Styela clava: one gene and its partners. The main gene of each other region encodes a partner of the protein of the gene in region 2 in a complex. Links are inferred from orthologs where the notes say so. Each region holds a gene or a part of one and is shown on either strand. Other genes may lie near its edges.

The links.
Region 1: corepressor interacting with RBPJ 1-like (region 2) and deoxynucleotidyltransferase terminal-interacting protein 1-like share a complex: the UniProt entries of both Homo sapiens proteins name them as parts of the histone deacetylase complex. The link is inferred for Styela clava from reciprocal best matches to the Homo sapiens genes CIRSR and DNTTIP1.
Region 3: corepressor interacting with RBPJ 1-like (region 2) and histone deacetylase 3-like share a complex: the UniProt entries of both Homo sapiens proteins name them as parts of the notch corepressor complex. The link is inferred for Styela clava from reciprocal best matches to the Homo sapiens genes CIRSR and HDAC3.

What each region holds. Positions count from the first base shown.
Region 1 is NC_135252.1:15,503,317-15,514,631, forward strand, and holds the start of deoxynucleotidyltransferase terminal-interacting protein 1-like, read left to right. Parts: upstream 1-6,730; 5' UTR 6,731-6,879; intron 6,880-7,212; 5' UTR 7,213-7,226; coding exon 7,227-7,334; intron 7,335-7,729; coding exon 7,730-7,906; intron 7,907-8,473; coding exon 8,474-8,569; intron 8,570-8,960; coding exon 8,961-9,099; intron 9,100-9,405; coding exon 9,406-9,470; intron 9,471-10,080; coding exon 10,081-10,134; intron 10,135-10,486; coding exon 10,487-10,561; intron 10,562-10,893; coding exon 10,894-10,952; intron 10,953-11,158; coding exon 11,159-11,219; intron 11,220-11,315. Other genes in the region: uncharacterized protein LOC120343555, read left to right, coding at 152-219, 841-977, 1,467-1,666, 2,219-2,256. UniProt on the Homo sapiens protein: Increases DNTT terminal deoxynucleotidyltransferase activity (in vitro). Also acts as a transcriptional regulator, binding to the consensus sequence 5'-GNTGCATG-3' following an AT-tract.
Region 2 is NC_135258.1:13,378,189-13,389,637, forward strand, and holds corepressor interacting with RBPJ 1-like, read left to right. Parts: upstream 1-6,514; 5' UTR 6,515-6,586; coding exon 6,587-7,639; 3' UTR 7,640-8,662; downstream 8,663-11,449. Other genes in the region: uncharacterized protein LOC120338680, read left to right, coding at 137-226, 1,008-1,150, 2,642-2,704; 2-oxoglutarate and iron-dependent oxygenase domain-containing protein 3-like, read right to left, coding at 4,329-5,228; serine/threonine-protein kinase 32B-like, read left to right, coding at 8,897-8,963, 9,279-9,499, 9,941-10,101, 10,683-10,813, 11,162-11,265. UniProt on the Homo sapiens protein: May modulate splice site selection during alternative splicing of pre-mRNAs. Regulates transcription and acts as corepressor for RBPJ. Recruits RBPJ to the Sin3-histone deacetylase complex (HDAC). Required for RBPJ-mediated repression of transcription.
Region 3 is NC_135260.1:13,915,207-13,925,709, forward strand, and holds histone deacetylase 3-like, read left to right. Parts: upstream 1-6,097; 5' UTR 6,098-6,199; coding exon 6,200-7,507; 3' UTR 7,508-7,646; downstream 7,647-10,503. Other genes in the region: protein SHQ1 homolog, read left to right, coding at 8,296-8,601, 9,059-10,087. UniProt on the Homo sapiens protein: Histone deacetylase that catalyzes the deacetylation of lysine residues on the N-terminal part of the core histones (H2A, H2B, H3 and H4), and some other non-histone substrates.

The DNA of each region.
Region 1 (11,315 bases), on a different chromosome or scaffold from region 2:
TTTTTCTTAGGATTCAATTGAATCAAATTGACGTGTGCGGAATTGACCAGATGCATAACAAGCCTTTATGTCAAGTTAACAATGTTTGAAACATTTGACACTTAGGTATACTAGTTATTCTCAATCGATATCCTTTTGATATCTTTTACAGTACCTGTGGCTCCACAAGGATCAAACTTTATGCAGCAGAGACCCCATTCTGCACATACGCCAACTCAGGTAAGATAAGAATTAGTTGTTCATTGAACCTAATTTATCCACATAGATTATACCAGTGGTTTCCAACAACCCGAATTTTTAAAAAATTAATTGTAAAATCTTGCGACCCCTGGATATGCTCAAATACTAAACGGCATGTAGTGCTTTCATGGCCACAAAATTAATTGACTTGTATAAAACAATCATTTTTATGTGACATTTATTTTCCCAGAAATTTCCTCAAAATGAGGAAGCTGTGCTCATTTGCCATCAGCGAGTTTTTGATATTGTGTGGCATAGCTTTAGGCCTACTTAAGCAAAAAAAACTGAACGCTGCCAAGCCTTTACTCGTTGATACTTCTGTAATATACAATTACTATTGAGCAAAACATTAATACCAAATATAAATTAATAAATCAAATTTACTACAAAGGATTTTATTGAGAAAAATAAGCGACCCATTATCTTGAATTTTTTTTTTTTTTTGAGGTAATATCACAACTGTATTACCGTAACAAATAGATTAACCCATTTCAAATCCTTATGCCTGTCAGGGGAAAAATTTAAATTAAAAGGATTCTACAAATCCTGTAGTTAATGTTGGTGACTTCTAAAAAAATATCTGCCTTTGCTTTTGCATAGGTTACACACGTCACAGCTTCAAGTCCTGCAACCCAATCCACACAGCAAACCCAGCAACCTACAGGTCATCCGGCTATGGTTCCTGCACATGGAGTTCAACAGGGGGGCGGACCAGTATGGATGCCAATTAACGCAAAGTATGTTTTAAAAATCACCATTACGGTGTTTGAGTCATTGGCGCATCTTCTTCCAGCTATAGATGAACTGAGTCCCTTTGAGTATATTGAGCATAAATGAATCTGGTCATAGTGCGAGTCAACTCTCAAGATGAGTGGCTTTTCCTGGCTTCCTGGTCATTTCATAAATTTTGAATGTTTTCCCCGAAATTTCCTTTCATTCAACTCAAAAAAGAAGGCTTGAGAGTTAGTTGTGGGCCGCACACGACATTCCAGAATATTTGACCCTTTGTCAGGAAACATTAAGTATTCTCATGCCAAATCACTCATGCACCTACTCAATGTAAATTTATACTGTGTTATTTTAAACCACATTGGGCCTAGTCTCATACAATACACCTAGCTGTATGTATTATAATGTTTGAATTCATACAAATGAACGACTTTAACTGAATTATAACGGTATGAATATGATACAGATATAAAGTTACAGGTGATGTTATTTTCTAGTTCAAATATAATGATGGTGCCAAGCGGCCAACCTCAACCAATGCAAATGAATCAACCACCGCAACATACCCACTACTTGAGTGCTATGCCAGCAGGACAGATTCCTTCATCAGTTGCAATGTCCAATCCTGTGCAACAAAAAGGACAACAACAACAAATCCCAGCTGGACACTATATGGCTCAAACCCCGCAGAGATCATGTAAGATTTTTTTTTCTAATATGTAATATATTGACTCGCCTGCATAGTTTTTTTGCTTACCTATCATCTTCTAAAAATATTGAAAATCATAGTTACAGAGTGCAACAAAAATCAGTCGGGTAAAAATAAAGGAGATACTTGGCAGATAATATGAAAAACATATAGATCCTAATAAAACCTAATATGCTAAATATGGAAGGAGACAAGGAAGCGTGTGGGATGGTTAAAGCAACAACACATTATATCGCCGCAGTAGTTATTTCACAATTTTCAGAAATTTACTTTTTGGATCGAGGCTATTTGTATGGTTTCAAAGTTGTGCCTGTTAAAGTTTTGATTTTAGGTATTGCCTTACGTCCATTGTTAGGTTTGGCTGTGAAGATCTGTAATTTACAAAAATGCAATTTGCCCAAAACCCCGAAATGTGACATAATACCTGTTGTGGCCATCATTATTATAGGAACTTTTGTGTAACAGAAATGCTTACGCCTTCACCTAATTGTCGAACTTTTAAATTAGGCTTCATTGAATTATATTTTTATTCTTCTTCAGATGGACAATATCAATCACCTTCTGCAAACAATCAGTGAACAAGAATATTTGAACATTGAATAAATTTTAAGGTCAACCATAAGTAGCAAATGGGGAACTTCTTAACGATAGATCTATGTCTATGTGTGTGTGTGTGTGTGTTTATTTACTTTAAACTTATTTACTATTTTTCGTCATTTTTTTTGTTTATTATTGGTGCTGTGATGGAACGATTACCTTGATATGGTTTTTCTTGAGTGCCCCGCCATCTCTACAGACTGTCTCTATGTCGAGTTAGCTGGCTGAACTTTTTTCATGATCGTACCACAGGGCTGATTTTACAAATTTAATCGCAACCAGCTGGTTGGCCATAACCAAATACTGGTCTATTTCGAATACATTCTAAATTCCTCCAAATAAATTTTATTCACATTTCTAAAATTCAAGGACATAGGAATTGAGCTTCAATAATATTCTCATAGCGAATCATCTATAAATACAAATGGCATGTGTGATATCACTAAAATTAGTGCTTTTCTTGCTTCCAGGAAAAAAGAATTCGTAAACATTACAGTTTTTTTACTTATAAATTGTGACTTATCTTGGCAACCACAGAAAACATCAACTAAACGCCCAGTGAAATGTTTGAAATCCTACAATATAATCGAAGTCCTTAACAACACACACATATTTTGACACGGCTAATTTTTGTTATAAACTGTTTATCATCATGTGAGTATAATTTGGCCCATCGACATCGGAGGTTACTTGTTCCTGAGTGAAATGTAAAAAACTTTTCGTCTCATTCATACATATTTTTGCATTTGAGTAAGCAGCATGATAATGGGGCAAGTCTGAATTTGTGGTTATCTTCTGCTGTGTATGATCATTGTTAAGCATTATGAGGTTTCTTATTTCATATCTATTGACATAAAAATTAAAGATGAACATTTTTAATTTTAATATTTAGCTTCGAAACCATTGGACAAGGGTATACTGCTATAATTTGTTTTAACCCTTCATAAAAATAAGTTTTCTTGCAAGTCTCATTCAATCTCTCTATCAGCTTCGATCCACTGTATTACTGATTCGGTGCCCAAGGTGGTGGTCGTTTTATGCTAGGTTAAATGTTTTAAAATTGTGCTGTTATTAACATTGTTTTGTAAATCATCTTTGAATTTTGTGTTAATTCATAAGCGGGATAAAAATGACATATTACTTAAAAATATTCAAACTGAAAAAGGAGTAGATAGAATATCACCATTAAATCACTGACAAATATTTCCCTAATACATAATTACAAATCAGAAATACAATCTTTTTCGCTGTAACTAGCGTTTTATTTGAAAAAAAAAATCAAATTGAATAGACACTGTCTAAAAAATTGTTGGGGTTATATTCAATGCTCAATAAACTCATGACTATCAATTTATTATCATTATGCTATTCAATAGTGTCTTCATTCAAGTCTCAAAGATTGTCTACAACAAGTAATGCCAAGCTCAAGAGCTGGGGTTCCCTATATTCTTATTCCTATTTATTTCCTATATACCTACTTTTTGAAACATTTTGTATGTCATTACTGCATAATTCTCTAGGTATAAAAGTACAAATTCATCTTAATTTAGAAACCCTACTTCCAGACAAAATAGTGAATAAAATCGTGATTAATGAAGATCCAAATTCACCGAAACAGGCTATTTTAAATGTTTTGTGCCTTTTATGAATGTATGTTGCGTTTCTTTTTCTCTGTTGCTGTTATTATTATTATTTACTCTTATTCATTTATGTCGCTTTTAATCAATTTCTCTGACTCTCAAGCTGTGTTATCTTGTGATACTCATCCATTTTGCTGCTAAGCACATGTTGTTAGCTTGAGAGTTAATGTTTTTAATAATGTTTTGTTTCATGTGTCATTTGTGTGCTCCTGGTTGGCCAAACACAGAGATATCATACTCATAAAGAATATATCAATATAATCAAATCTGGTTTACATGCAAAAGTATTCCTATTAGGAAATATGATATATTATAAAACGAATTTTCTGTAAAAAACGTTACACAAGCTCACCAAATAACTTATCCTAAATTCATATTGCGCAATAATGCTAAACTGTCTTTGGATTTAGGTGGGATTTTTCATAGTTGTATACTTATAATCGTAGCTTTGATTTTTGGAGTTCACTCTCATTTATACCCAAACAGGCAAGTTTCACTTATCGAGAATAACACTGTTACTCGAACTCAATTTTTTTTTGATATATGGTCAATCGTGGGCACTGGATTCATCTGCTACTTCCATATTACTTATAATCAACACATTGAAGTAAATCACTCATTTGGATCACACTATCTCGATTGATTTATACAACTATAATTAGTTTATGGTCCAGATTTCATAAATGAAGCATTGCTCTATAAAAAAAACACTGAATTATATGGATTCATGTGAAAACCGAGCATTTTTTCCACAACATAATCATCTGTAAGGTCATGTTTTGAGTAGTCATGTAGTCAACACATAAAAATTACTTCAGATCAAACAAACCAATTTCAATGAAACCTACTTGGTTGTATTTTTGCAACTTATTGGACAAATTTTTTGTAGGTCTACAAATAATATCTCAGAGCTATTTTTTATATTAACGAATAAGTTAACTCAATTTTCGGCATAATTTGAGAGCCTTCCCCGGGTTGAATAGGACAGTTTTACGTTTTGTCCTTGTTGATTGTGTAGTCACTACTTCAATCTTGTTCAGTTGTTATTGTTTGCGGATTTTTGGTTTACCACCCTTGTTAACATTTTCAGTTTATATTTAAAACTGAAAATCATCAAGTGTTTTCTTGTGATCTTATGATTTATTTATTCTATTTTGCTTTATTGTATTTTTCATTGATTTTCTTCAATTTTAAATAGGATTTTTAGGATATTTTACTCATTGAATCACTTTTGCTAGCTGCGAGCTGGTTGATATATACAAGGATATATCCATGTCTTAAGTATTTTGAATATTTAAGTCTCACCCATTTTCCTTGCATAGAAAATTTATTCCTTGTCAAGTATGAGCAATAGATAAGTACAATTTCACATACTTTCCAATAATAGACACATGACCGGATCTTTTTATACAAATAACATATAATTTCTGGCCTCAAGTTAAAATCTGAACAGTCCATCCAACTTTTCAAAATAAATGCCAATAACAATAATGCAGCATGTGCTTGAACATTATAAGTCTTAATTATAGGTCATTCGCATTGGGCAGACATTGAACACAAGTTCGCCTGCAACAGAAATTGCATCCATAATTATACAGGTCATAACGATTATGTTTGCTCAAACCTCTGCCAAATGCATTTCTCTTGCCTACTTAATTAAGCTGATTGTAGGTAATATCATCTGTGATATGTTTCGGTAAAATATGGATAACAATCGTTTCATCTAGTGTCGGATTTTTAGTTGAAAAAATCCTGTCTACAAAAACTGAATAAACACATTGTAAAATTAATCCTGTCTGACTCGAGTTGTTGAAAAGTTATATTAGTGGGTGTGGCACGACGAGAGGCGTGGTTCGTCATGATTATGCAGCCTTATCGTCTTTCCACGCGAAAAAGATGTAAATTCTATATCCCTCTCTTTGCTTTAAAACAAACTAAGATCAGAGAATTTGTGAATTATGAAACTAGGAGCGGAACAAGTGCTAAAAAACAGTTGTAAGTTGCTTATAAAGTTCTAGTTCGATTTCTGAATACTGATGGTGGCATGGTGATATTGAAAAATGCAACGCAGCAATTGCTGCACATATTTTAGAATATTTATATACAGTAGTTGTAGCTGTTGCCGTGTGTTGGCAGGGCAATTTAGTTTTATTGGATGCTATGAGTGACCCAGAGTTAACATATGCAAAATTCGTTACGTCACGCCTACTGGTACCTACTTGTGGTACTATACTTGACACGCATATTGGGCATTCTTTTAGCCAAATGATGCTGCTAAGTACACACACGCTCGCTTATTAATGAAAGAGCACGAGTTAGAAACTCATTTCATATTCAATAGTAGTTACGAGCTATTCTCTTTGGTTAGCCCTGAAGCTTGGGTGAGTGAAATTGCGAGAAGCGCGTTACGAGGCAAAATTGATCAAGTTCGTCCGCCCAAATTAGAAAAGGGACTTTCCCGGGGATGGACACCCTTCTCGTTTCGCAACTAGTCAACAGGTTCCCGAAATCGTCTATTCCGCTTGAAGTTGGATGGAATAGTGAAAACACTTGGTTCAGAGCAGAGCTACATATTCAGTTTATCCGTATATACACAGTTAATTCTGCAAGTAAAAATTTTGAAAGGAAACCAGGTTGAAATTGCATTCCAAAATTGATCTGAAAGTGAAACAAATACGGACTGGCTAACTATGCATATGTCGGTACCGGTACCACACCCGACAATGGCTGGTAACCGGACCAAAGGGACAATTATATAAATCCTATCCTAACTCATTTCACCACATTACTTCATTACCTGCTGCTCAATCATTAGCAAATGCTCCACACACTGACACAGGTCAAAATTCTCTGATTGTTTTAATTATCTGGTCTTTATTTTTGTTGATTAATCTTCAAGTCGTGTATCAGTATACATCAGTACAACCAGTACATCAAATACATCTAATATCGAATGATAATCAGGTATTTGATTCATTATGTTTAACATTTATTGTATGCTGCATTGGTCCACGATCAGACTATAGCACTGCTAATTACAGTAAGTAAGTTTATTTCAATTTTCTGTTCCAACAAAACAAAGAAGCAATACATAGCAAAACAAACAAATAGCCCATGACTGCATGAGCTCTTTATTTCGTGATCCCAAGTAACTGAATACTGGAATAAGGAAATGTGGCACAAACTGACTTTATCGAATACTTTATCAGGAAATATAAGTGTCATATCTAAATGATATACCTGTAAACAGTCACCTAAATCTGGAAATAATAAAGTTGCAAGTCTCTGTGTCAACAGAAGTATAAGTCGTCATGTCAGATGTTTTCATTCCTCGTGGTTATGTTTCAAAAACATTCTGGCCTGTTGAAAAGTCATCTATACCTTCTGAAAACTTGGATGAACCTGACCTAACTGAAATTGTAAGTACCTCAGTGTAATGACAGTATATTTTTATTCTCTGACAGACTGGTTATTTTCTGTGTTTACAATCTTTATAATGTTATGCTTCAAACTATCTCAATCGAGTTGCATTGATGTACAATGTTTACTTACAGTTCAAAAACCTAACTAGTGTAGAAGGGCTCACAGAAATTTTTCATAATCAATCATACATTTATACCTACTAATTTTTTCAATATGAGTGAAATCTAAAGCCAATTTATCAAATTTGAATAAATTAATGCTAGTCAATTCATGTTGGGACCAGGCATCTTTCAGGAAAAAATCGTAAATTTCTACTTTTTTAGGTTTAGATAAATTTTCCGAAAAATATATCAATTTCAACCAAGTCAATTATATCTTTTTTTAATACCAGCAACCGTTCAGCGTGTATCATCTTGATCATCCCCATGTTATAAGAAAACGATCCGGACATTTTGGTGCTTCACCGCGGTGTCGTGCAAGTGCTACCGATTCTTTGGATCTCACTAGAAAAGTTTTACAGCCAGCAATCAACTATGATGTTGTGGAAGTGTTTAAGAAGTATATTTCGGTGTGCTATACATTTATTTTTTTAATCTCATTTTAAAATTTAAATGAGAAGATTAAGTTGTCAAATACAGTTGTCAGTTGTGATAAATTTTCATTGCCAAATATGATTTAACATACTGTTGGGCCATTTTCCCACAATTTGAATCAGTGGTAAACTGGGGGTCGTGAACAAATTTTTTGTGGCCGTGGAAGATTTTACTTTTGATGCCTAAATTAAAAATTGCTCATCAAATTATTATCGCCTGCATACGGATTTTTGTTGTAACATTGACTGTCGTATGGCCTTTGTTTTGTAGTTGTAACTAGCATAAGTGAAAGCACATGTCAGTTTAATATTGTTTACTTGCCGAACATGCCTACCGTTAGTTGTAATTATCAATTTGTTTATTTCGATTTTAAAATTCGGTATCAAAATGTTTGCGAAACGTAGGAAAGTTGTTGGGTCAAGCATTTTAAAGTGCTTGATTGGAAGACTATTTCCTCGTTGAGAATTATTCAAAACCTGTCTGTTTGATATGTCAAATCAAGTTATAAAGGAATTAAATGTCACCTCTTTCAATCATGCCAGGTTTTTCGGGATGCGACAGAAAATATAGTGTCAAACATGCACACTGAGCCATTTACCTCATGTGCAACTTCTGATGAACTCAATGTTGAGAATATGGTAGGAATATTTACCTTTTTTATAATTGTCCATTAATTCGTTTCGTATAATAATTTTTTATTCAAGGTCTATATCAGTGAGACGGGATCATTTAATTTCTTTGTGGAAAAACTATCTAGTTTTTTTATTGCACAATTTATTATCCGATATACTCAAATCTGAGCTTTTTGATACAAATATTGGCTTTTTATTCAATATGTTGTAAGACTAAACTTAAGATAACTTCTGAAAACCAGCAATGCAGTTGATAAGTACCAGCAGAAACATGAATTTTTCTTCCAATATAAACACAGTACATGAGCGATTCATAGAATTAATTCAGGTAGGGGGGATCATATCATATTCTATGCTGTATAATACTGAAATTTACGAACCCAATTTTTCTTCTTAGGTTTTTAAAGCTTGTTCTGATGCTCTTGAACATTGCAAATCATTATTTGACACCAGGACTCCTGTGAATCAACCAAAAAGTAAAATTGCTAAAATCCAGAATGCAGGTTCTGGAAAAGGGCAACAACAGACATCTATAGGTAATTACAATGTCATTTTATATTATCACAGCTTTCGTTAATGGTGGGCTTTAACACTGGTTCTAAATCTTTAAAATCAATCAAACAAAAAAAAATCATTATTTTGTCCTAAAATTAGTTAGTGTCAAAAAAGATTTTTCGCACAGGTAAGTGGAGTCAAATGTAAGAAGAGTAAGTATGGCTACTTCTGACAATATTGGGTACCGCGACCCCCATTGATCACTTTTAAGACCCACCAGGGGGGTTTGGGATCCAATTTGAAGAGCCATGGTCTAAACTATTGTTTTATAAATTAAATTATTTTAGCGTCATCACTACCTGGATGGATGGTTATGAAGAGAGTGCCAAGTCCAGATTTTCCTTGGACAAAGGTAAAATTTAAAATTATATTTATTCTAATTTACTTACATTTTAAAACTATTTACTCATTCTTTGATCATCACATTCGAGTAATTGGAATAGTTTTGATGGCTGATGACTGAATTTTCCAACTAAATGTAAAGCATATCTGCATATGCAAATAATAGTGACAATTTTGATGACCTTCCATCGTTGAGGTATTTGTCACTGAAGCTTTCTAGCATATTAGAACAGAAACTTTCAATGTCATTCATCTAATGTTTCTATTGTGTTTATGCTAAAAAGCAATGTATTTTTGTCAACCATCCACCATATTAATAACTAATGCGAAATAGATATTGTTTTGTAATTTTTCCTATATACGATAGCTAAACTGTCATGTTGTTTAGACAAAAATAGGTGATATGTTAATTAGTGTATACAAAAAGTACTGAACGTTTATTTAATTAAATGCTGGCCGGCTCAACATGGCATTGAAAGTGATTGAATATTTGCATTGTTGGAAAACAAGCATATTACATATTTAACTTTCCTCTTTACAGGGTGGACCAAACAAATGTTTTTGCCCACCCTGTATCATTCAATACATTTTGAAATGAATAGAAATTTATAAAATTTCAGAGACTTGCAAAACACTCGCCAAGAAGATCACTCTCTCCAACTCCCAGATCAGCAGTGAGTAATTTAGGCAATTTTATTAACATACTGTGATATCACAATGACATGGGAAAGGGGGTTTAGCGAAAATGGTATAAAATTCACTTTTTGCTATAATGAACAACATTTTCCAAAAATCTCTATTTTATATCTGTGTAATGAAAAAATTGATCTGTTTGAATTATGGAATCAAATTTTTGTTACATATCTTTTATAACCCAATGTTATCTTTCTTCAAATCTACTTGAAAGATCCCATATTTTCTGAATCTATGAAACCTAAGAAATTTTTTAAAGGGTTGCCTCAAATGAACTAAATGTGTATATTTTTATGGTGACAGAATAAGTTTTTGTAAATATATTACATTTAGAAAAGAGGCAAGGCAACTCCAAGAAGATATGGAAGCCCTCAACAGGGTGGAAGAGAACCACTTAGTCGTGATAATGTAAGTCATTTGATTCTGTCATGTTTAGGATAAGATTCACCGATACATATTTATCCTGGGAGAGAGGAGCGATTGACAAGACCAATCAAATGGCGAACCATAGCCTCTCGTCCAGTTACCAGTTCATGTTGGGTATGGGATTAGTTAGTCAGTTTTTTGTTTTAGATGCATGGACTTAGTGGAGAATGCCGTAACCGGCCAGCGGTTACGTGAACCACCCTACGGCGGCGAGGAGTGCAACAATCCTTTCATAATTATCCTCCACGAAATTTGAACTTTCGATTGTGTTTGCATCTGAGGACATGTAACTTATACACGTTTGTGTTTTAAAGTGGGATCCAGATAAGCTGAATACTGATACCAAGTTCATAATGGGAACAAGAGCAAACAAGTAAGTTTTGCCTAAATTAATTACATTTTTAAACTTTGGGGGAAATTTTAATGTTTAGATCTATTAAATTTTTGTTTACCAGTTTTTTTTCTGATCAACATTTTAGAATCTCTAAAATATTACAAATTATTTGTAGAAAAATGTTTGCATTTACTCGTACCCCTGACATATCTGTAACTGTATCTTGATAAAATTTTTCATTTCAGAGCGTTAGGACTTGGAGCAACCAGAGGTAGAATTTATATGAAGCATCCAGAATTATTCAAGGTATAACTGAATCATAAATCTCATAATTGATGATATTTTCGGAAATATAAGTTCATATAAATTAAGTGTCGTATAAATCCAATTTTCTTCATGCCT
Region 2 (11,449 bases):
AGTCCACTGTCAGTCTGCGTTAATTATATTAGCATACCATAAGAACCAGGGTATGGGTTTCTCCGAAAAAAAAGTTGGTAACTCAAAGGCATAACTTGTATTCAATTACTATACGACCTTATCATTCATCTTGCAGAAGTGACTTCTCCACAACAACTCACAAGTAGTACGGTAAATGGAACACACAATGGCACGGTGAATGGAACGTTGACTGGATCTAAACCAAGTATTTATACTTTTTATATTATCTCGTGATTTTGGCGAATGAAGTAAAATTAAGAATACTCTAATCCAGGGGTTCCCAAACTTTATTGGCCGCGGGCCAAAATTAGAATTGGAAGGGTGTTCGCGGGCCGGAAGAGCGTAGTGCACTATGATTTAGTCATGACATTTTTTGAAATATGTTTGTTAACTCATAGTGGTGCTTCATGACGTATTCCTTCAGAATTGGGATGGTTTGCTGACAAAGAAGACAAATCGCTGAAGTTTGATTCTTTCCAATACAGAAATACGAACGCTGCCATTTCTTTATTTAAGATTTAAATAAAATCTGTTTCCAGAGTATAGTTTATGTTTGTTATTTGACATCTCAAGCTTTCTTATATGGTTGATATCTGAATTACTGCCCTATGTTATCCCAATACCTAATACGTATAATTGAGAGACCGGTGTGCATAAACTGTAATAAGGACATAACAATTGGCAGTGTCTATAGATCACAAAAAGTAGAAACAAAGTCTGTTGAACACTATTTCACTTAGGCTTGACGGGCCATTTTTAATTGTTATGCGGGCCGGATTTGGCCCGCGGGCCGCGGTTTGGAACCGCTGCTCTAGTCCAAAATAATTGCTAAACTATTTGTGGCTTTGGAAATGTTCATAAGGAGAATGTGTCATCCAATTTTTAAGCTTTCGATAATTACTTAATTAAATTATACACTATGTGAACACTCTTGAATAAGAATGTCACGTCTTATATTTTTTTCAATTTTTATCTTTATTTTGCAGCTTCAAAAGGCTTATCACCTGTTCTTGCTACAGTCGTTGCTTTAGGTTGTGGTCTAGTTTTAATCGTTGTTATTGCTGTTGCAATCAAAATATTTAAGAATATCAAGACATTCCGTTTTAGTCGCCTGCATGAGATGCCAATGGTAAGTTATGATATTTAACATGATTTCCTATTGTAATAGATAAGAACACAAATAATGCAATCATTGCATGCCATGAATCATATATATAGACATCTAAAGGGAAATAGTTTGACTACCAATATTGGTATATGACCCATCTATTTGCAGCTTCCTGATTTATTCAGCGTACTAATTTTTGTTGTCATAACATGATAGATGTTAATCACAGTGTATACTTCCTCAATATAATTGTGATGCATGGGAACTTGTCTGTTTTGATTGCCTGTGTTAGAGGTAAGATCGGGCTAACAAATTCCAGCCCGGCCCGTGGGTATTAAACCCGACCCGAGCCCGACTAATTAACTGGATTTGCAGGCTCGACCTGACCCGGGCCCGTGAGTAATAAAACCCGACCCTAGCCCGACTAATTAACTGGATTTGCAGGCCCGACCCGGGCCCGTGAGTAATAAAACCCGACCCTAGCCCGACTAATTAACTGGATTTGCAGGCCCGACCCGACCCCGTGAGTAATAAAACCCGACCCTAGCCCGACTAATTAACTGAATTTGCAGGCCCGACTAATTAAAGGGATTTGCAGGCCCGACCCACTAACTAACCGGCTTTGCAGGCCCGAAATTTCATATTTTATTTAGTTCTTCGAATTGTCATTGCAAGAGTTTAGTACAGAATAGGGGAATGCTGGGACATATTTCTTTTTTTGTGAGCTCTATAATCTGCACATTCATTTGACAATGCGGGGCTAATAGATAGAGGGTAGCTAAAGGTTTTACTGGGCAAACTAAGAAATTCCCTAGCGACACACATATTATCATCAAGAGGCATTCAAAAACGTGTGTCAAATGTCCCGCTGCATTCCACTTGTGCGGCACATTAAATTAAACGAGGTATGCCGTTAAAAAGCAATGAATAAGCATCATCATCCAAAGAACTACGAAACTTTAAATTTCAAAATTTAATATTTATGAAATCGGAACCACTCTGAAAAATAGTTTCTAATAAACATCTATTTATTTATGAAAAATCCAGCGATATATAAGCCCGACCCGAACGTAATTATTGACTTTTCAGGCCCGACCCAACCTGAACGCAATGTTTGACATTTTAGGCCCGGCCCGAACGTAATGATTAACAATATAGGTCCGACCCGAAATATCGGGTCGGGCTCCAGATCTTAGCTCTAGCCTGTGTTATATAAGTTTAAAACTATGTATGTTTACCTAGGTTTAGGTTTACCTATCGTAGTTTGGAAGGACCAGAATCTTCCTGGTTCAGCATCCCTACCCAATTCAATACACCATAATAATATAAAGTAAATTCATTACGCATAGAACTTCTGATGCAGTTAATTCAATGGCCTCTTTGTATTTACTAGCAACTGGCTATATCTGCAGCAAACAATCCTATACCCAATCTCATCGCTAGCTTTATTGTACGTAATTGTGTAGGTGCTTATTGTATAAAGTCATATAAATTGTTATTTTATATTTTCAGGATGACTTTGATGATTACTCAGGAGTCTATGCAGAGCATACTGTTCCAATTAGGCCACTGTAAACAATGAATCAAATCGAGACTGACGACATAATTATGATGATCACTGTATTGCATATTTATGGAACATTTTACTGCGGTGCATATATTTCAGATTTTTTTGTTCCTTATGTACATATTCCACTGTGTTGTGACTGCACTTCTGATGTATTTATTTGCGCCACTGCCGGCCTATTGAAAGCCATGTTTATCTAGATAGGGTCTAACTAGTTGGGCTTTCTTTGACCATGTTTCCCATGAACGCCATTATGGCAAAACCGCTTGCTTGCGGTGAATGATGAAATTTAGCCCGGGACATATATATTTGTCAATTGAAGGACTTCATTTTAGCAGATTTGACTACGATCTGAAATGCCATGCTCGGCAAACAATTATAAAGCTTCGATAAATCTATGTGTATAAGGGGTCGAAGATTATCATGTATTTTTTCCTTCGATTAATCCGTTCTTCCCATTCAAATGAGACCTGCTTTATAGTTTGAATGTTTATGGCTCTAGACTGGAGACACCAAGCGCAACTAAGATAAAACTGGAAACTGATTTTACTAATATTTTATAACATAAGTCTAGTGTTGGTGATTTCATTTTTTTTTTTTTTTAAAATGTGTCTGAAATTCCCATGCCTGACATGTCACATTGCTCTATGTGTAACCATGTACACATTCTCTGTCTGTATCTTTCCTCTTAAGCACAATGTCCCATACTTTTGTTCCAATTTTATTTCCTCCGGCATTAAACATTCCAGGCAGTTGCCAAGCGTCACTTCAGATTAGTTTTAAAAGCCCTGTGTTGGAAATAGTAGATTGGCAAAAATGATTGTGGTGTTTTATTGCGTTTTTATAGCAGCGTTTCATTGAAATAGTGCTTGTTTCATAATTATATGCAAGCTGGGTGTGGCTAGCCTAGGACTTTTTATTAGAGACTAATTTAAAGTTACAGCAACAATACTAATGATTTTCAATTAACAGTAATGACAGGCAACAAATTGATCAAAGCTTCTGTGCATTTTAAAACACTGTTGCAATAAAAAGGTTTTTCTGTGTACACTGTTGTAATTTTATTATATGCCGTGTGGGTTCACCCAATTGTCAGCGAATTATCCACCAAACGCATACAATTCAATTCAAGGGGTATTCCTGCAGTTTCGTACCTCAAGAACTTCTTCTACTGGGTGTAGCAGAAAGATTTTTTTCACATGTCAATCAATACTAACCCCCACCTGACCGACAGAGGTTGCCAAAGTATGCCGACGATACAGAACTCACTAACGGCAGCAATCTCTCTAATATCGAGATCGTTGAGACGAGAGAAATGGTTTGCTCAATTTCGGGTGATCATCTGCGCATCTTGGATGACAGTTTGAAGGGCCTTATTTGACGCAGTCAGGTTGGGGTTAGTATTGACATGTGCAAAAATTGTTATGCTACGTCCACTAGGAGTACTTGAGGTTCGGCACTACATTAGACCCGATTAAGTTAGAAAGTACTCATAAGCTCCACAAAAAGTACTAGCCAGCTTTATTTTTTTTGAAGAGCGCATTTGGCAAATTGGAAACAATTCAGACAATTTTCCCTTTATTGCATTTTTTTTAGTTGTTGCTTGGAGCAAGATCAAGCTAAGAAGCTGTATCATGTTCTGATCTTAGGGTCTTTTATTGACTTCTTTGGATCACAAGTGAAAGAAATTGTGATTGCATATCTCACACCTGATGTCACTTTTTCGACGTGGTGTGGGTTCTCTGATCCGGAGGTAAAAAAGGATAATCTTCCGCGTTTGGGTTCAATGATAACACTATTTGCATCATCGAAAATGAATCTTCCACCTTCGAAATCTTTTTTATAACTAGTTAGATATAGCAGCGATGTATAATCAAACGATCCATATTGAATTTTATCTATATGCTTATGCCAATATTCATCATGCTGAGTTTTTGCTGAAGTATTGGTGATTGACGAGAAAAAGGTTGGATGCGTTAAATATAATTTTGAAGGATCGATTCCGAATTCTTCTGAAATTGTCTTGTGAACTCTGGATTTAACATCGTTGTATAATTCAAAGTCTTCATCTCTAAATGTTTCCAAAAGAGCATCATTTTCTAAAAACTTATAAATATTGACAAAACGTTCACCCATAGACAAAGCCCCAGAATGTAAATCAAGAATTGATGCTCCACCATCAGACCCACCATGTGCAAAACCTCGTTTTGCAAGAGCTAGTAACTGCTCAACTTCCTCATCACTCACAATATTATCCCGGACAAAACGTCCGCAAGTTTTAATTGGAGTGCATTCAGTAAAAATGGGATGTTCTTTATAATCCTCTGAACATGTAATATTATAGCTCCCACCAATGTCTTCTATTGTCACCACCTTGTTTTGGTGCGGATTTGAAAAATACACAATATAGAAACCCGCAATACAAGAAAATAATCCCACTGCTGTTGCAATAATATTATTTGATAGCAGTTTGGTCTTTTTTTGATTATTTTTCTCCCGTTTAGGATTGTTCTTTTGTCTCTTTGCTCCCATTTTACTGTTATACAGCTAGATTTGAGTATTTTACAGCTTCAAACTGAAATCAATGTAAGCATATTGCATCGCTTATGTACGGTAATCAAGCAATAAGTATTTTTTGAAGATATTGCACAATAGTTATATTAGAAAGATATAGAGTGACAAAAGACCATATTAAATATCTTTTCTTATACACACAACACTGAGGAAAATTGATGTATTTCTCCACAATTACATTTTCGCGAAACCACATTCAGACATTGCGGTTCTGGATATCTTACTAGGCTATAACCACTTTGAAAAAGATGGTAAGTTCACAAAATAAAGGTTTGCATAGTCTCAACATAGCGGACTACATTCTTAAATCTGTACATGACATTTGCCAAGTACGGTACCGGTACCGTGCGCCGTGCGGTATGGTACCCTACGTATCAAATTTGATGAATGATACCTGTACATCGCCACGATGCGACTGGCCATTGACAAGATGGCATTTCACCGTGAAACGGCGAGGAAATTCCGTAAATCTAAACATTTGATTACCTCTGCATGGTAAAAAATATAAAACTATCTCGAATTCTTTTTAAAACCAATTTGTAAGCGCTAACTCACTAAAAATACTCTTGATTTTGGGGGCAAAGGTCGGAGCCAAGAACAAGAACAAATTTGTTTTGACATTTAGTATAGACGCTTTAAATGCCTGAGATAGATGAATCAAACAATTCCGAAGTCGAGCACATTTAAGATTTTTGTGTAGAAGCTTTTGAGTGAGTCGTCTGGCAACGGAATTTCAGAATTTACTAAACCTTGATCACATGACGTCATAAGTGTTCAAAAGATGATACCAGAACATTTTCGAACAAAATTGATCGGAACACTTGCATTTCGTATCCCTATCGCAGTACCAGCAGGCATCGTATTCGTAAGCCTGTATCGGTAACGGGTAACGTCTGAACGGGCATTAGTGTCGTTAAGTCTGTAAGAACTGAGGTGCGAGAATCTTTAAGTGGGAACTGCACCATTCTTGTGTAGTTATCTGTGATAAACTTAGGATTTTTTTTATTACGTACCGGTACTATGAGATTTAGACTGTTAGAGCAAATCAACATTCTGACATTGAAATCTGAAAACTGGAAAAGAGAAACAGCTATCGAGGTTCAGAGGTTCGATTGATTCTATTTGTTTATGTTTCCTTTCTGGCAAGTCTTGTTCTGCAGTTCTGTTTGTTTAGCCAACTGCCATAGACTGACTGATGGCTAAATTTTTAAAGCCAAAACCTAACCGCCCTGTTAACCTTTTACTTTTCTCATATTTGTTCAGATATTGTACTAATTAAATTTTATTAGTTTTTACGTCTCTCTGAAACAAGCAAAATGGGGAAATCATTTAATAATTATATGTGCAAGAAGGATTTTCATCCAGCATCAAGAGACAACATCAAAAGAGTATGGATGAGACAACAAAAACTTGACCACGAAAAGAGGAAACAGGAGGAAATGATGGAACAATACAGAAAAGAACAAGATATGCATGAAACTAGGGTATTAATGGGAGACAGCAAGGCTAAACTGGGATTGAGTTTCATGTATGATGCGCCTCCCGGATTACAAAAGAAAAAAGAAGAAGAGGACACAACGGAATACAAATTTGAATGGCAAAGGAACGCACCTCGTGAAAAATGGATGAAAGATGACAAACAGACGCTAAACGACCAGCCTTTCGGAGTATGTGTTCGTAATGTGAGATGCATAAAATGTCACCAATGGGGGCATATTAACACAGATCGAGAATGTCCTCTGTATAATAAAACATCTTCTTTTGATCCTAGCATGACAATGATGGATCCATCAGCTGCGGCTGGTGCAATGCAGTCCACTTCTGGTCTTAAATTAAAACCACAAATAATGCAAAATCATTTTGAAATAAAGGATCAAAAGCATGATATTGTCAAACATGAAGAAGATGAGCCGGAAGTTGCATTTTTAAAAAATCTTTCTGACAAACAGAAAATGAAATTATTAAGAAGGCTGAATCGCATGGAAAAGAAGAAGAAAAAGAAGAAATCAGGAAGGAATAAAAAAAGTAAACACAGCTCCTCAGCAGAGTCTGATTCAGAAAGTGACAATGAAAAGAAGTCCAAAAAGCAGCAAAAGTTGAAAAGAAAAGAGCGTTCCAAAAAGAATGATTCATCAGAATCAGAGGATGACTCTCCAAAAAAGAAAAAAAAATCTAAAAGGCATTCAGAATCTGATGATGACCTGCCAAAAGAGAGAAAATCTAAAGATTACAATAAGAAAATTCATCCTAAAGATGAATCTTCATCAAGGCACGATCGATCACAAAAATACTCTCATGATGATAAATATGAGAAAGCAAGAAATCGAGAAAAGGGACATGAAAGACGAGACTTTCATAGACGCCATTGATATTTACACATTTAATTCTTGTACAAATTAATCGTTTTTCATTAATTCAGACATTGCCAATGAAACATCCTTATTGATGTATATAGTGAGAAGTTTTTTTTTCAATTTTTGGCATGATTCTTTTGGTTATTTTTAACAAAGCCCATCTTGAATAGTAGAATTTTGACGTTTAGAAGTTTGCTTCACTAATCTTACATTTTACTTTATTCCAAATTCAGATGAGGCTTCTGATGCATTTATCTTTTTCTTTACGTTATTATTTTGGTTGAATCGAAAATAAGATTATAACAGCTCATGTTCGAAACAAATTGAAATTATTTACATTCAAAGATTTTTTTCAAGAATTATTCCAGTAGGCCTACTCAATTTGAAAAATAATTATTTTGAGTGCCGATAATTAAAGTTGATGATTCATCTCTGAAATTTGTAAGAAATACAAAACCAGTCAAATCACTTTATATCTAAATTTACCTGCATTTCCTGATCCGAACCCTTTGAATGTTTACTGATTGCTCTATGTATTTTTCATTGAACATGACCCAATTCATAATATAATCGTTGTTCTATGTTCGAAAATATCGTTCTAGAATGCATTTGGAATAGTGGATTCATTCGGTTCTTGGCAATCCCTGACCTTGTGTGGCATCAAGTTTTTGGAAATTTCTTTTATGAGTTTATTGACATATTTGTTTAAATACATCGTACCTTTGTATATATATATATTCAGTGGTTTCTAGTTTTACTGATTGTCTGTAACCATTAATTAATTCTTGGATACAGTGGAAATCTATTTTTGATTTTGTGGTAATTTCAATAACTAATTCAATAATTAGGTTGTGCTTTATGCTTTAGCATCATCAGTAATTTATATGCCCAGTTAATAACAGTAATAGTGAATTTGATTTGTATTTGCGAGTAATATAGAATATTGTATTGTTACTTCCTCTTATCAATATAACTATGAATATACTGTATGTATGTTTACTATGGTCATGCTTTATTACTTTTATTCATTATTTTTAAAGCTAAACGTTATCTGTTGCCATGAATAGTGATGCATACCATGTTTGATTAATTGATTAGGCGCTTGTGATTGCAACAGCATGTATGAAGGCTCAAGGGTACTGTGATTTTGTGGGCTATGTAGAATGAAAGTTTGATTCATGGTAGATTGTGAATTGTTATAAAACTTGATTAAGAAGTTCTGCTGTTATCTTCTGATTTTTGAACTCTGACAATACAACTGTGACATGAGATATGGGAAATAGTCAAAATAGGCTTGATGGTGAAGCAGATGGCCCGGATTCAAATTCTGATAAATCAGGTAATCTGTCACAATTTTTATTGTTTCTAGTTTCATTATAAGGAAAATATAGGTATAGTACGCAGTTATTACAGCACAAAATTGGCTTCCTATTCAAAAATATTTCAACAATTTCGATATAAATTCCTCGAATAGATATTGAAACTGTTGGCGTTTTAAAATCAGTAGCATTTCATTTGCTATATTCCATTAATTTTATGTATCCCTGTGAATAAATAATCATGATTTTTAGCATAGGCCTACCTAGTTCCTTCATTTAATTTTTTCATTGATTTCATAACTTCCATCATAATTTCATACCTTTTCTTTTTATAGTTAATTTCAACAGCTTCAAAATTTTGCGATCAATTGGAAAAGGGAGTTTTGGCAAAGTATGCATGGTGCAAAAACAAAGCAATGGAAGATTATTTGCTATGAAATATCTAAATAAAGTGTCATGCATCAAACAAAATTTTGTTGAAAATGTAAAACGAGAGATTTCTATGCTTTGTTTACTCAAACATGACTTTATTGTTAATCTTTGGTATACATTTCAGGTGAGCATTTAAAGAAGATCAATTTCGAGTATTATTTACCCAAACTATTTATAGCCCAGAAGACCCGCATTTTCTAGTTTCTATTTTGTTTTCTTTTTATAAATTGAATATATATCATCAACATTATCATCCAAAGTTATAAAATTGTATTATTATTAGATTCTATGTTTTTTTCTATCAAAAATTCTCTTTTGTATATTCTCCACCATGCACACAAATTGTATTACCGTAATTTTTTAGTGTTACGGTCATACTAGCTAGCCATTTCTACATGGCCACCCCAAAGTTGAATTAGTAATTATAATTATTAAATTATAACATTTTTTTAAGCTACTTAATGTATAGATATGTTATCATTGGGACATTCCTGCCAGTTGTCCTATTGCTTCGTTTTAATGAAATGTGTAATATTCTGAATTTTTGTTTTTCTACTAATATCAGGATGAGGAAGATTTCTTTATTGTTGTTGATTTACTGCTTGGTGGAGATTTACGGTATCATCTGTCCAAACATGTATTATTCACTGAAGATGACGTTCGGTTATATATTCTGGAAATGGCATCTGTTCTTGACTATTTGAAATCCAAATGCATTATACACAGGTTAGTATTGTTTTGGCATGTAATTCTTGTGTTTTCTTCGGATTTTTTATTCAAATAATTCGATATGATAATTTGTAAGTCGAGTGAATCATGATAATGATATATTTTTATTAGTTTAATATCAGATGTTATTCTCATGTATTTGATATTATAAGCGTAAATGAGAGACTAATTATAGAAATTGAAGTAAAATTGGTAAAAAAATTTTCTGGGTTTGATTGTTCAGTGCTCATCTGTTTGTTCACTGTTCAGATCATTATATTTTGCTGGGAGGATACTGAAGTTAAAACAACAGCATTAAGACATTACAAATAAAATATTTTATGAGTTAAATTTGCTTTAATATAAAATTTTCTGAGCTGCCAACGCATTACAATTACAGGCATTTACAATTCAAATTTTGCGTCCTTTTCAACAGGTTGTAATTCACATGCTATTAAGATAAGGCAACAGGTCATCAGAACTTTTGGCATTTCATTTTCTTGAAGTTTTTATATAAAGTTGTTCAATTACTTGAATAAAATTATTGATCTGTTTATATATCCTGATTTTTCTTAAAATTATTGTTCTTCACTTTACAGAGACATCAAACCTGATAATATTTTACTTGATGACAAAGGTCATGCCCATCTGACAGATTTTAATGTTGCAACTATACTAGATAGCCAAGATGAATTGGCTACAGGTTTTGCTGGTACAAAACCATATGTTGGTATGTTATTTTGGCTGTTTGTATATTTTTGTTTTTGTTTCTCCAATCTGGTTGTGATAAACAAATATGGTACATATGAAGAAATCTGATTTAATCTTCGTGGATTTAAAATGATGTAATATTTAAAAAATATTACAGATTACTAAGTAAATAATATCATACAACACTTACGATAAGCTAAATTGCTGAACTATAATTTATGTTTTTCAAACATGCCCAGGTTTATTGATTTTGGATAAAAATCCTGTTTTTTAAATATTGACATACCATTTTTCCGGCTGTATCCTACTTTAGTAAACGTATCTAATGATGTTCTTCTTATACATATATTCCCATTACACTACTTAGCACCTGATGTATGTCAGAGTAAGCTTGGAAAAAGCAAAGGTTACAGTTTTAATGTTGACTGGTGGTCACTTGCAATAACAATGTTTGAACTGTTGAGGCACAAAGTGAGTTTATTTATTCAGTTCAGAGTGATTATTTATTTATTCATCCTTTAAACTTTATTAATTGAATTGTTTGCAACTACTCTGATTTTCCATCCAGTGCGTTTGTGTGATGTAGTTATAAACACTAACAATCAATAATAATATCAAATCAACTATACTTACAATTACCACAATTACCCAATAA
Region 3 (10,503 bases), on a different chromosome or scaffold from region 2:
TTACTTAGTGCCGACTGATATTAGTTGTAAGCCAACTCACCACGGCAAGGTTTCAGTCATAGAGTTGGAATTTCTTTTTGCAGAAGAAAACCAGGAACAGATAGGCACTGTCGCTGCGCCTGGCAAAGAAACTGGGCCGAAGAATGGATAAATTTAATATGATATTTGAATACTAAACGTTATGGGGAAATTTAATGGATGGAAGGTTTTGTTTTCTTTTTCGTTACGAATATTGAATTTTATTTGAATACTAAACGTTATGGGAAATTTGCTGCTTTACATACTTACTCTTTGCAATACTGCGGCCCGTAGATCCTTGAACACCTCCGAAGAAGAGAGTCCACAGATAACTCTCCTTCCTTAAACTGTTCCCAAACATGTTGCACCCTCTCGTTGGCTTCCGCATACCTGCCGTTGACACGCCCCACAACATTCTCTTCCAAAATATCCACAACGTCCACCTCTATCCCTATACTTACCTCGTACATTGTTGAGATTAAACTGTAAAAAGGCATATTTTTCCGAGTTATACTGTTGAAATGGCGGTGCCAACCTTCCAGATGATTGTTGGTTCTTATTTCTACGTCGAATACTGACCAATCCTTGGGAGTCCAGACACTGTTGTATAACCATGTGTTTTGAAAATATTCGGCGAAGTTCTTGAGATCTTGAGTATGCATCTTTTCTTTCAGTGATTTGAACCTGGACGTGATAAACATAGCAGGTATATAGCACAGCGCCATGACATGCTTTATCAGGTCTCTTGTCCCAGCGTCCCTAAAACAAAATAAAACACGACGCTATAGTAAACGGTGCACGTCACATAATCTTCTCAACAAGAAAACAACTTTCACTCCTGTCGAAGTCAAAAAGCTGGTATATGGATGGGACGTTCGACGTGGTTAAAGACCCATTTTATCAACTTTTTTCTATCCATGCATTCATCAGGAGCGGCGAATGCTCGAAACAAATTCCGTTTGTTTTTGTCCTTATGTCCCGGCGCAGGAAAATTGACTACGTCCACATCTTCAATGTAATTAACAACCTACTCACCCTTTCGTTTTCCGGTGCACGTGTGAAGAGATTCGTACTGGACTTCGAAGCCGCAACGTGGCAAGCACTTTCTTCAGTATGGCCGGACGTCGAAAAGCAGGGATGCTCTTTTCACTTCACTCAGGCCATCATGAAGAATGTGCGCCACAATAATTTGGCTCGCCTATACAACAAGTGAGTGGTTAACCATATTTATATATATGTCTTTGTACTTCTTCCACTTCTTTTGTTTTAACATGTTTTATTTTGTTTTAGGGACGCTGGGACAAGAGACCTGATAAAGCATGTCATGGCGCTGTGCTATATACCTGCTATGTTTATCACGTCCAGGTTCAAATCACTGAAAGAAAAGATGCATACTCAAGATCTCAAGAACTTCGCCGAATATTTTCAAAACACATGGTTATACAACAGTGTCTGGACTCCCAAGGATTGGTCAGTATTCGACGTAGAAATAAGAACCAACAATCATCTGGAAGGTTGGCACCGCCATTTCAACAGTATAACTCGGAAAAATATGCCTTTTTACAGTTTAATCTCAACAATGTACGAGGTAAGTATAGGGATAGAGGCGGACGTTGTGGATATTTTGGAAGAGAATGTTGTGGGGCGTGTCAACGGCAGGTATGCGGAAGCCAACGAGAGGGTGCAACATGTTTGGGAACAGTTTAAGGAAGGAGAGTTATCTGTGGACTCTCTTCTTCGGAGGTGTTCAAGGATCTACGGGCCGCAGTATTGCAAAGAGTAAGTATGTAAAGCAGCAAATTTCCCATAACGTTTAGTATTCAAATAAAATTCAATATTCGTAACGAAAAAGAAAACAAAACCTTCCATCCATTAAATTTCCCCATAACGTTTAGTATTCAAATATCATATTAAATTTATCCATTCTTCGGCCCAGTTTCTTTGCCAGGCGCAGCGACAGTGCCTATCTGTTCCTGGTTTTCTTCTGCAAAAAGAAATTCCAACTCTATGACTGAAACCTTGCCGTGGTGAGTTGGCTTACAACTAATATCAGTCGGCACTAAGTAAATGCTATGCAACTATTGAGTCTGCGTTTTGCAAAGCAATGTCTTCTCCCCGAGCATCGATATCGCACAGCGATTGCTCGACTAGTGAGGTTGCTCGGTAGTCGAGTTGTCTTCACCTCGAGCATCTATATCGCAGAGCGATTGCTCGACTAGTGAGTTGTCTGCCTCTCGTTGCTCGGTAGTCGAGTTGTCTTTACCTCGAGCATCGATGACGTCACGTCGCAGAGCGTTTGCTGGTGAGTTGACGGGCGACTGCCGTAGGCGAGTTTAGACTACTGCAATCACAGACTACTAAGCTCACATTCATAAATATTTAAGTGTTACTGTGAAGTATAAAGGTTTTAATATATTCAAATGTGCTCATTCAAAACATTTAATACCAATAAAGTTCATAAAATTAAACGAAAACAGTCCTATAAGTCAACAGTCTAACTTCGCTAACGTTACTCCAATTTCGTCTGTAGACTGTATTTGTATTCATACAACATGATTAAAATAAGCCACTTATACAAATAAAAATGCTTTCTAGAGAATATTTATGTATTTTTCCCGACATTTGAGCACTAAAAACATCAAAAACGCTTTTCTATAGACCTAAAACACCATCGTAGAAAATGCGAAAAGACGGACAACTCACCAGGTCTCCAGGTAGTCGAGTTGTCTCTGGTGAGTTGTCCGTGTAGTCGAGTTGTCCGTCAGCCGTAGAGCTGAAAGATAGTACGGTAGCGCGATAGAGGTAATATATGTAACTCGCTAGTTGTAGGGCAATTGGGGTTAAGTTAAATTTTATAATCAATTAAGCTAGCTTCAGGGGAATCCGCCTCGATCCCGACCGCATATTTCGGAATCGATAGATTTTGGAAAATACCACAAGCGTTAGAATACAACAATTCCGCTAGTATATCTGTATATAAGCGGAAAACCTATAAACAATCCTCGAGAAGACCCCCAGGTTGATTTATGGACGAGACGTTTAACCTCTTTCACACCGGGACCCTTCAAGCCTCACTTCTGTAAAACTCCGTCTTTAAAGCCCCCTAGTCTTATTTCAAAACTATGAAAGACGTTAAATACGAACGGCGATCGTGTACCGGTATATTAGGAAATCCTACTCCCTATATGATTCTGCCAATGTTAAATACTTATAGAGAGTCTTGCACCTAGTATGATAAAACCGTTGGCCGACTATACCCACCGATGCCCAACGTGCGAATACAAAACCCCGTATGTCTGTATGTGTCAAACTCTAATGTAGAGTGGATTGTACATAAACCTGTTTTTAATGCTTAAATATTTTTTGTATGTACATTTTTTCTGGTCAAATAAATTAAATATTAGGAAAGCTGATGCCCAGCTATAAGTATAGGGCAGCCACGATTAAACCCCATGTATTCGTATTTATTTACGGTTGAACCATAACCTCTCGTTCGGTTGCCAAATCAATGTAGAGTACCGTATAGCTGTATAGGGTTATTAAGCCAGTTATTACTGTATTAATGTAGGGAATTGATGGTTGAACCGGTAGACTACCGATGATGGGTTACGGTAGTGACGGGTCAGCGGGTACCGGTACCGTACCGGTACGTGGGCGCTACCGGTACCCTACGGCCTGCGGTAGGTACCGGTACGGCGCGAGAGCCGATAAGTCCAGCAATCTACTCGCACACAATTACATCAGTGTTAGCAATTTCTTTCTGTCTTTTGTTTGGATGTAACTTAACGTTAGTTACATTTGATAAAGAAATGCATTTATTACTGTATCAACTTTTCTCTGGAAATTGTTAATATTTTTATTGTTAATATTTTAATTTTTAATATTTTAATATGTTCATTGTTAATAAACTCTCTCTCTCTCTCTCTCTCTCTCTTTTGTTTAAAGTTCTAGTCTAATATTTCAGTAATTCCAAATTGCCTCAATCAAAGCCTACCAGTACAGAATGTGTTTTAGATCTGTAGATGAATAGGATCCTACAGTCCCGAAGCTGACAGTTGACAGAATCTTCAGGGGTCAGGGCAGTGTTCTCAAACCTAGAGGCCAGACTGGATTCCATGGCAGGTGCACGCCCAAAGGCGCTAGCCCTCCGCAAAAATGCACGCGAGCGAATTCAATTTTGCATGCCGAAAATTTGCGATTGCTCACCAATGTAAATCAGTTTAAATGGTTTTAAAATCAATCATTCCAGCAATATAAAGATGCCAAAATATTATAACTCCACCATTGTCGACTAATACTAGCTTGCAAGATTTGGTCTGATCGAAAAATTGCGAAGCAAAAAAGACCATATCGTGTTGAATAATAGGAATCCTGTGAGAATAGTTATGGACGAAAAGATCGCCTCAGCACCAACGCTGGCCAGGTACGGCTCTGATTCATCGTATTTTTCATACAATAATTTTACACGAATGTACTGAACAGTACTGGTATCTAAAGTCGCACAAACACTTTCAAAATTAGTGACGAAGTATAAAAATGATGTTTGAGGTCAAAGGTCAAGCGTCCATTTTGCTCTAATTTGACGTATTTTTTATCCATTAATTCTACGTAAAAACACTCCCAAAATTAATGACAAAGTAAGTCAATTTTGCTCTGGTTCAATGTATTTTTTTATCCAATAATTTTACGCGGATGTACTGAACAGTACCGGTATCCAAAGTCGCACAAACACTCTCAAATTTAGCGACAAACTGTAGAAATAATGTTTGGGGTCAAAGGTCAAACGTTCATTTTTGCTCTGATTCAACGTATTTTTTATCCGATACCAGTAATTTTACGCGGATGTATTGAGAGGTATCTAATGTCAAAGTCAGTTGCACGCGGGCGCAGTTGTTTTGCACGCTGTGAGCTATAATTGCATGCCAGGAATTCTTATTTGCACGCAGGCATTTCTGATTGCACGCCCGATTTCTCGTTCAAAAAGGCCATGACATCCAGACTGGCCTACAGGCAGACAGGGCTACAGACGGGAGGCGGACAACTCGACTACACAGACAACTCACCAGAGACAATAAAAATGCACTTATACAAATAAAAATGCTTTCTAGAGCATATTTATCTATTTTTCTCAACATTTGAGCACTAAAAATATCAAGAACGCATTTCTATAGACCTAAAACACCACCGTAGAAAATGCCAAAAGACTGACAACTCACCAGGCCTCTAGGTAGTCGAGTTGTCTCTGGTGAGTTGTCCGTGTAGTCGAGTTGTCCGTCAGACCTATGATTGTTCTTTTAACAACAATTTGAAAGTTATTGATTTTATTTTCTAGTAGATTTTATTGTTTATTTTATATTCAAATTGAACCCACTTGAGTAATGTCAATTTCAAAGACTTGCCCATGCAGCCATGACAAACAAGCGTTCTCATTTAGTGCAGCAATCTGACCTTACTGACTTAAAAAGATTTCCTGTTGAATAAATGTGAAGTAAAAATTACTGTTTTTTGTTATTGATAATTCAAGTATGCCACTATAAATAAACCTTAAAAATATTTTTGGGTCATGAGATTTTACAAAAAGTATTCCCAAAAAAGCTTGGGTCACTTGAAAAAAATGTTGGAATGTAACCACTGGCAGACTGGGTTAAGCTACTGTATTGATAGACACAATCATTTACTGGGCTACATATTATTCTTATTTACGGTAGTCATTGCTCTATACTTAACTAGCTGGATTTCCACCTCGTTTAGAACAAACTTCCAGATTGTGCTCTGCGATCGGCTGTTGTCGCTGCATCATGAAAACTTTGAATTTTTTGATATTCTTCTTTTTATAATTTTATTATTCAACTGCTTCCAAGGCAACTGAACATCAAATTTTGAATTCGAACCATTATATGTCACTTTGTGGTCTAAAATATTCTGTGAATGATGTTATTACAGTATTAAGTACTTCACTTGTTGAATTAAACAACCAAACAGTACAATGCTGGAATGTAGGCATTTTGTTATCCATCAATAATACATAAATAAAATGATTTAAACTCACCCTTATTCTGTTATTATATCCCTATATACAGCATGCAATTATAGTGGTATAGAAAGTTTAAATAAAAACATTCTTGATATAGATAGAATATTTGCGAAATATTCATAGTACATACTGACATAAGAGGCCATCATGTCCTCAGAAGGCAAAGATCGCAAAGTTGCATACTTCTATGATATGGACGTATCACATTTTCACTACGGACCTGGTCATCCCATGAAGCCTCACAGGCTTGCCCTTACACATAGTCTTGTTCTGCATTATGGACTGCAAAATAAAATGCAAATGTATAAACCATATCGTGCAACTCAACATGATATGTGCCGATTCCATTCAGAGGAGTATATCAATTTTCTGCAGAGAGTAACACCGATGAACTTACAAGGCTTCACCAAAAACTTACAAATGTTCAATGTTGGCGATGATTGTCCAGTTTTTCCTGGACTATATGATTTTTGCTCAATGTATACTGGTGCATCTTTACAGGCAGCAACTATGCTGAACAATAACAAATGTGACATAGCGATAAATTGGTCTGGTGGGCTTCATCATGCGAAAAAATATGAAGCATCAGGTTTCTGCTATGTCAATGATATAGTAATCGCAATTCTTGAACTTTTAAAGTATCATCCCCGTGTCTTATATCTTGATATTGATGTTCATCATGGTGATGGTGTTCAGGAGGCATTTTATCTAACTGATCGAGTCATGACTGTTTCATTCCACAAATATGGAAATTATTTCTTTCCTGGAACGGGTGATATGTATGAATGTGGTGCAGAAAGTGGGCGGTATTATTCTCTGAATGTTCCTTTGAAAGATGGCATCAATGACCAAACATACCATCAATTGTTTAAGCCAATTATGCGTGCTGTGATGGAGTCATATCGCCCAACTTGTATTGTGATGCAATGCGGAGCAGACTCTCTTGGATGTGATAGATTAGGATGTTTCAATTTAACCATAGACGGACATGGAGAAAGTGTGAAATTTATGAAAGAGTTTGGAGTTCCACTTATGTTCCTTGGTGGGGGAGGATATACTGTAAGAAATGTTGCGAGATGCTGGACATATGAAACCTCAATCATAACAGGTCAAGAAATAAGTGATGAATTACCATACAATGAATATTTTGAATTTTTTGGGCCTGATTATGTCCTGCGCCCAGATACAAGTCAAAGGGTTGAGAATCAAAATACCAAACAATATCTCGACATTCTCAAACAGACTGTTATGGAAAACTTGAGAACGATTGCTCATGCTCCCAGTGTTCAAATGCATGAAGTCCCTCCTGATCTTTTAACATTTGAAAACTATGAAGAAAACAATGATTTCGATGTTCGAGACCCTATTTCTCAACAAGAGCAAAGGATCGAAGCCGATAATGAATTTTTTGATGGGGATCAGGATAATGATAAGGAAAGTGATGTTAGTATATGATTCAAATTCTGTCTGTCCTGTTATGTCAGATTCTTGATGTTATACCTTTGACCATTTGCTGTGACTGCCATTGGATTGGAATGTCCAATAGAAATATTCATATTTTAAGTCGGGACCAAAAAGATTATGCCATTTTCAATTGAAATGAATTAAGCAATAATCGACACAGACTGTTTGCCAGGATACAGCAACAAATACTTTTGTCAATTTGCTCAATGGTCTGCATCTCTAAATGGTGATGAACAATGAATACTCAAATTTCGAATGACTGCAATTTTATTGAAACAGTATTTATCTTTTTTGTTGCAGCCCTATTGGTATTTCAATATAGATTTTGATTTCCATGCTACTTTGCCACCGATATAGCGCTTTCTACTTTGTATATTCTAGTCACTTGTATGTTTTTGGAATGACAGAATCATTGCTATTGAAGTGATTGTGATTTGACTGAATTTTTTTTTTTTCATATCGAACCCTTTGATTGATTTATTTGAAAATAACTAAATTCAAATGTTCAAATGTTTTGTTTGTTGCTACTAGCTAGTTGTATTAGCATGTAGTATTGATCTTCATTTTAATTTTTATGATATGTTGTGGTTGTATGTGAGGTTGCTATTAGTACAATGTGCAACATACGCAGGTTTTTGTTCTGCTGAAGGTCACATATTTTGCTAATCATTTTTTACGTTTTTAATATTGTAACTCTGGAATACTAATGAATTCTATTGCCTATTGGTGAATAATATTGTTTTAATATCTATATTTAAGATAACAGATATCTTGGAATAATGATAACGCCATTGTTTGAAATCACACAAGATGATATATTCCTGTATATCATGATTAAAGCTCCTTATTCCAAAGTATCAGAAGCAGATATTTACATAGAGGATGGAAGCTTTAGATTCCATGCAAAGCCATACTTTTTACGGCTCAGTTTTTCTGCTTCACTCACTGAAGATGACAGAGCAAGCTGTGTTTATGATGTTGAAAATGGAGAGTATAAACTAAAAATAGCTAAAACTGATCCTGGAACACATTTTGAAGATCTTGATATGTTGACCAAATTATTGACACCAGCAGGAGAGAGACAGGTAAAATATTTGTGCACGATCGACTTTTGAGAAAAAATGGATTCAAAGTGCGCGCTATGGTTCATAAAATACAATAAATATTTACAGTATCTACTTCCAAATATGTCCAGGATTTCTAGCTCGGCAAGAGATGAGGTTTTACATTTGATGAAGATTTATCATTCTTGTCTGGAATAAGCAATTATTATATTTTAAGTTATCATATATCAGAATTTTAGTAAATTTCAGATAAATACATTGGCGGTTAAAATTCACAAAAATACAACTAAAACAAATCATTTCACATTGATATTTTGCACAGCACTTGTTTCAAATTTAATTGAATCTTCAACTAAATGTCTGTCTTTTTCTGAAAGTAATTATTGCTTTATTTATCTTCTCACTAGTAAAAAGCTGTCTATACTTTGTGCTATTATGTTCCTACTGTTTAATTAAATTAAAACTTTAAAATTCTCAGGTGAAGAAACCATTGATTGAAGTTATTGAGAATGACGATAATGACGGAATCGGTGAAGATGATGAGCAGTTTGATTGGAGTTATCCTCAATTTCTTCCCAACAATGAACCAACAGAATCTTTGATCGGATGTGGATATGGATTTGCCAATTCGAAGTCTGGTGTATTTTCAAAACTTCAAGAAGACATTCACGATGTGATACAAATCCGAAATATAGAACAATCGTCTATAGAAAACAGGAGTTCTGAAAGAGTTGAATATGAAAATGATAAATTCAATCCGGAACATTATTTAGCTGATTTATTCGAAGAAACAAATATTGAAGAATTAATCAATTTGACTCCACCTTGGAAAACTGCTAAAGCTGATGGAATCAATTTTAGTGAGAAAGATAAATTTATTTTGAAGAATTTTCCGAATATAGAATATCTTCTTGATAAAGTCCAAACGCAATCTGTTTATATGGGTCTTGTAGACATTTTATTCAGTTATGCTTACAATTGGAGATGTACGGAAGGTGATTACAGTGTGGAGTCACCTTGGAATATAAGGACTGTAAGCACCACTTTATCATGGTGTGCTACTGATTCGCTTATTCACAAAACTTTAATAAACTCGTACAGACGATGCTTGATATTTCCTCTGTATAGAAATTGGAAATTGACAAAGGCATGTCATAAGGATGTTGCAAAAATTTTGTCGAACGGCAAGAAGTTTATTTTAAAATGCTTATTGCAAATTCATGACTTATTTGCAAATAGCGATCCATATTATGTGCTCAATGATATCTATATAAGAGATTATTGCATTTGGATACAAAAGTCTGGACCTGATGTTATACAATCTTTATCCAAAGCTGTTAAAGAAGTGAAAATCAAGAAAAAAGAAGTTGAACTTGATCTCGTGGAGTTGGAAAAAGCCGCACATTTAATGTTGGAGGAACAAGAATCTGAGCAATCAGAACAGTCATTATCGGTAAAAGATTCTACAGATGAAATATCATGTAAAATTGAAGAATTAAAAATATGATTGGATAAAAGAAAGTCATGTCTGTGCTAAAGTGTCTGTGAATAGTGTGAACACTATGGAAACAAATTTGCTTCAGAACAGGCAGAGTCTCGAAGTTGGAATCACAATTTATTGATGATTGTGGACCCCAGTGGCCACCTCCTCTTTTGGAAATTCGATGGCCCTTCAAAACCCTACTGAACACAGTTCAATGTCCGCGTGGTATACCTTCATAATTATTCTAACGCTACTGATTTTTTTTCTCGGATTATGATATTTCTAACTGTGATAGAGCGGGCAATATATCACAACTCGGTGGACGCGTGCCGTGTGCTAGCCACCGCACCCCTGATTACCCCGCGTAAGAAAATATAAATCCTATCAAGGTCATAGCTGGCTCCAAATTTGGGATGGGGTGGGGAGACTGTTCTCTGCGA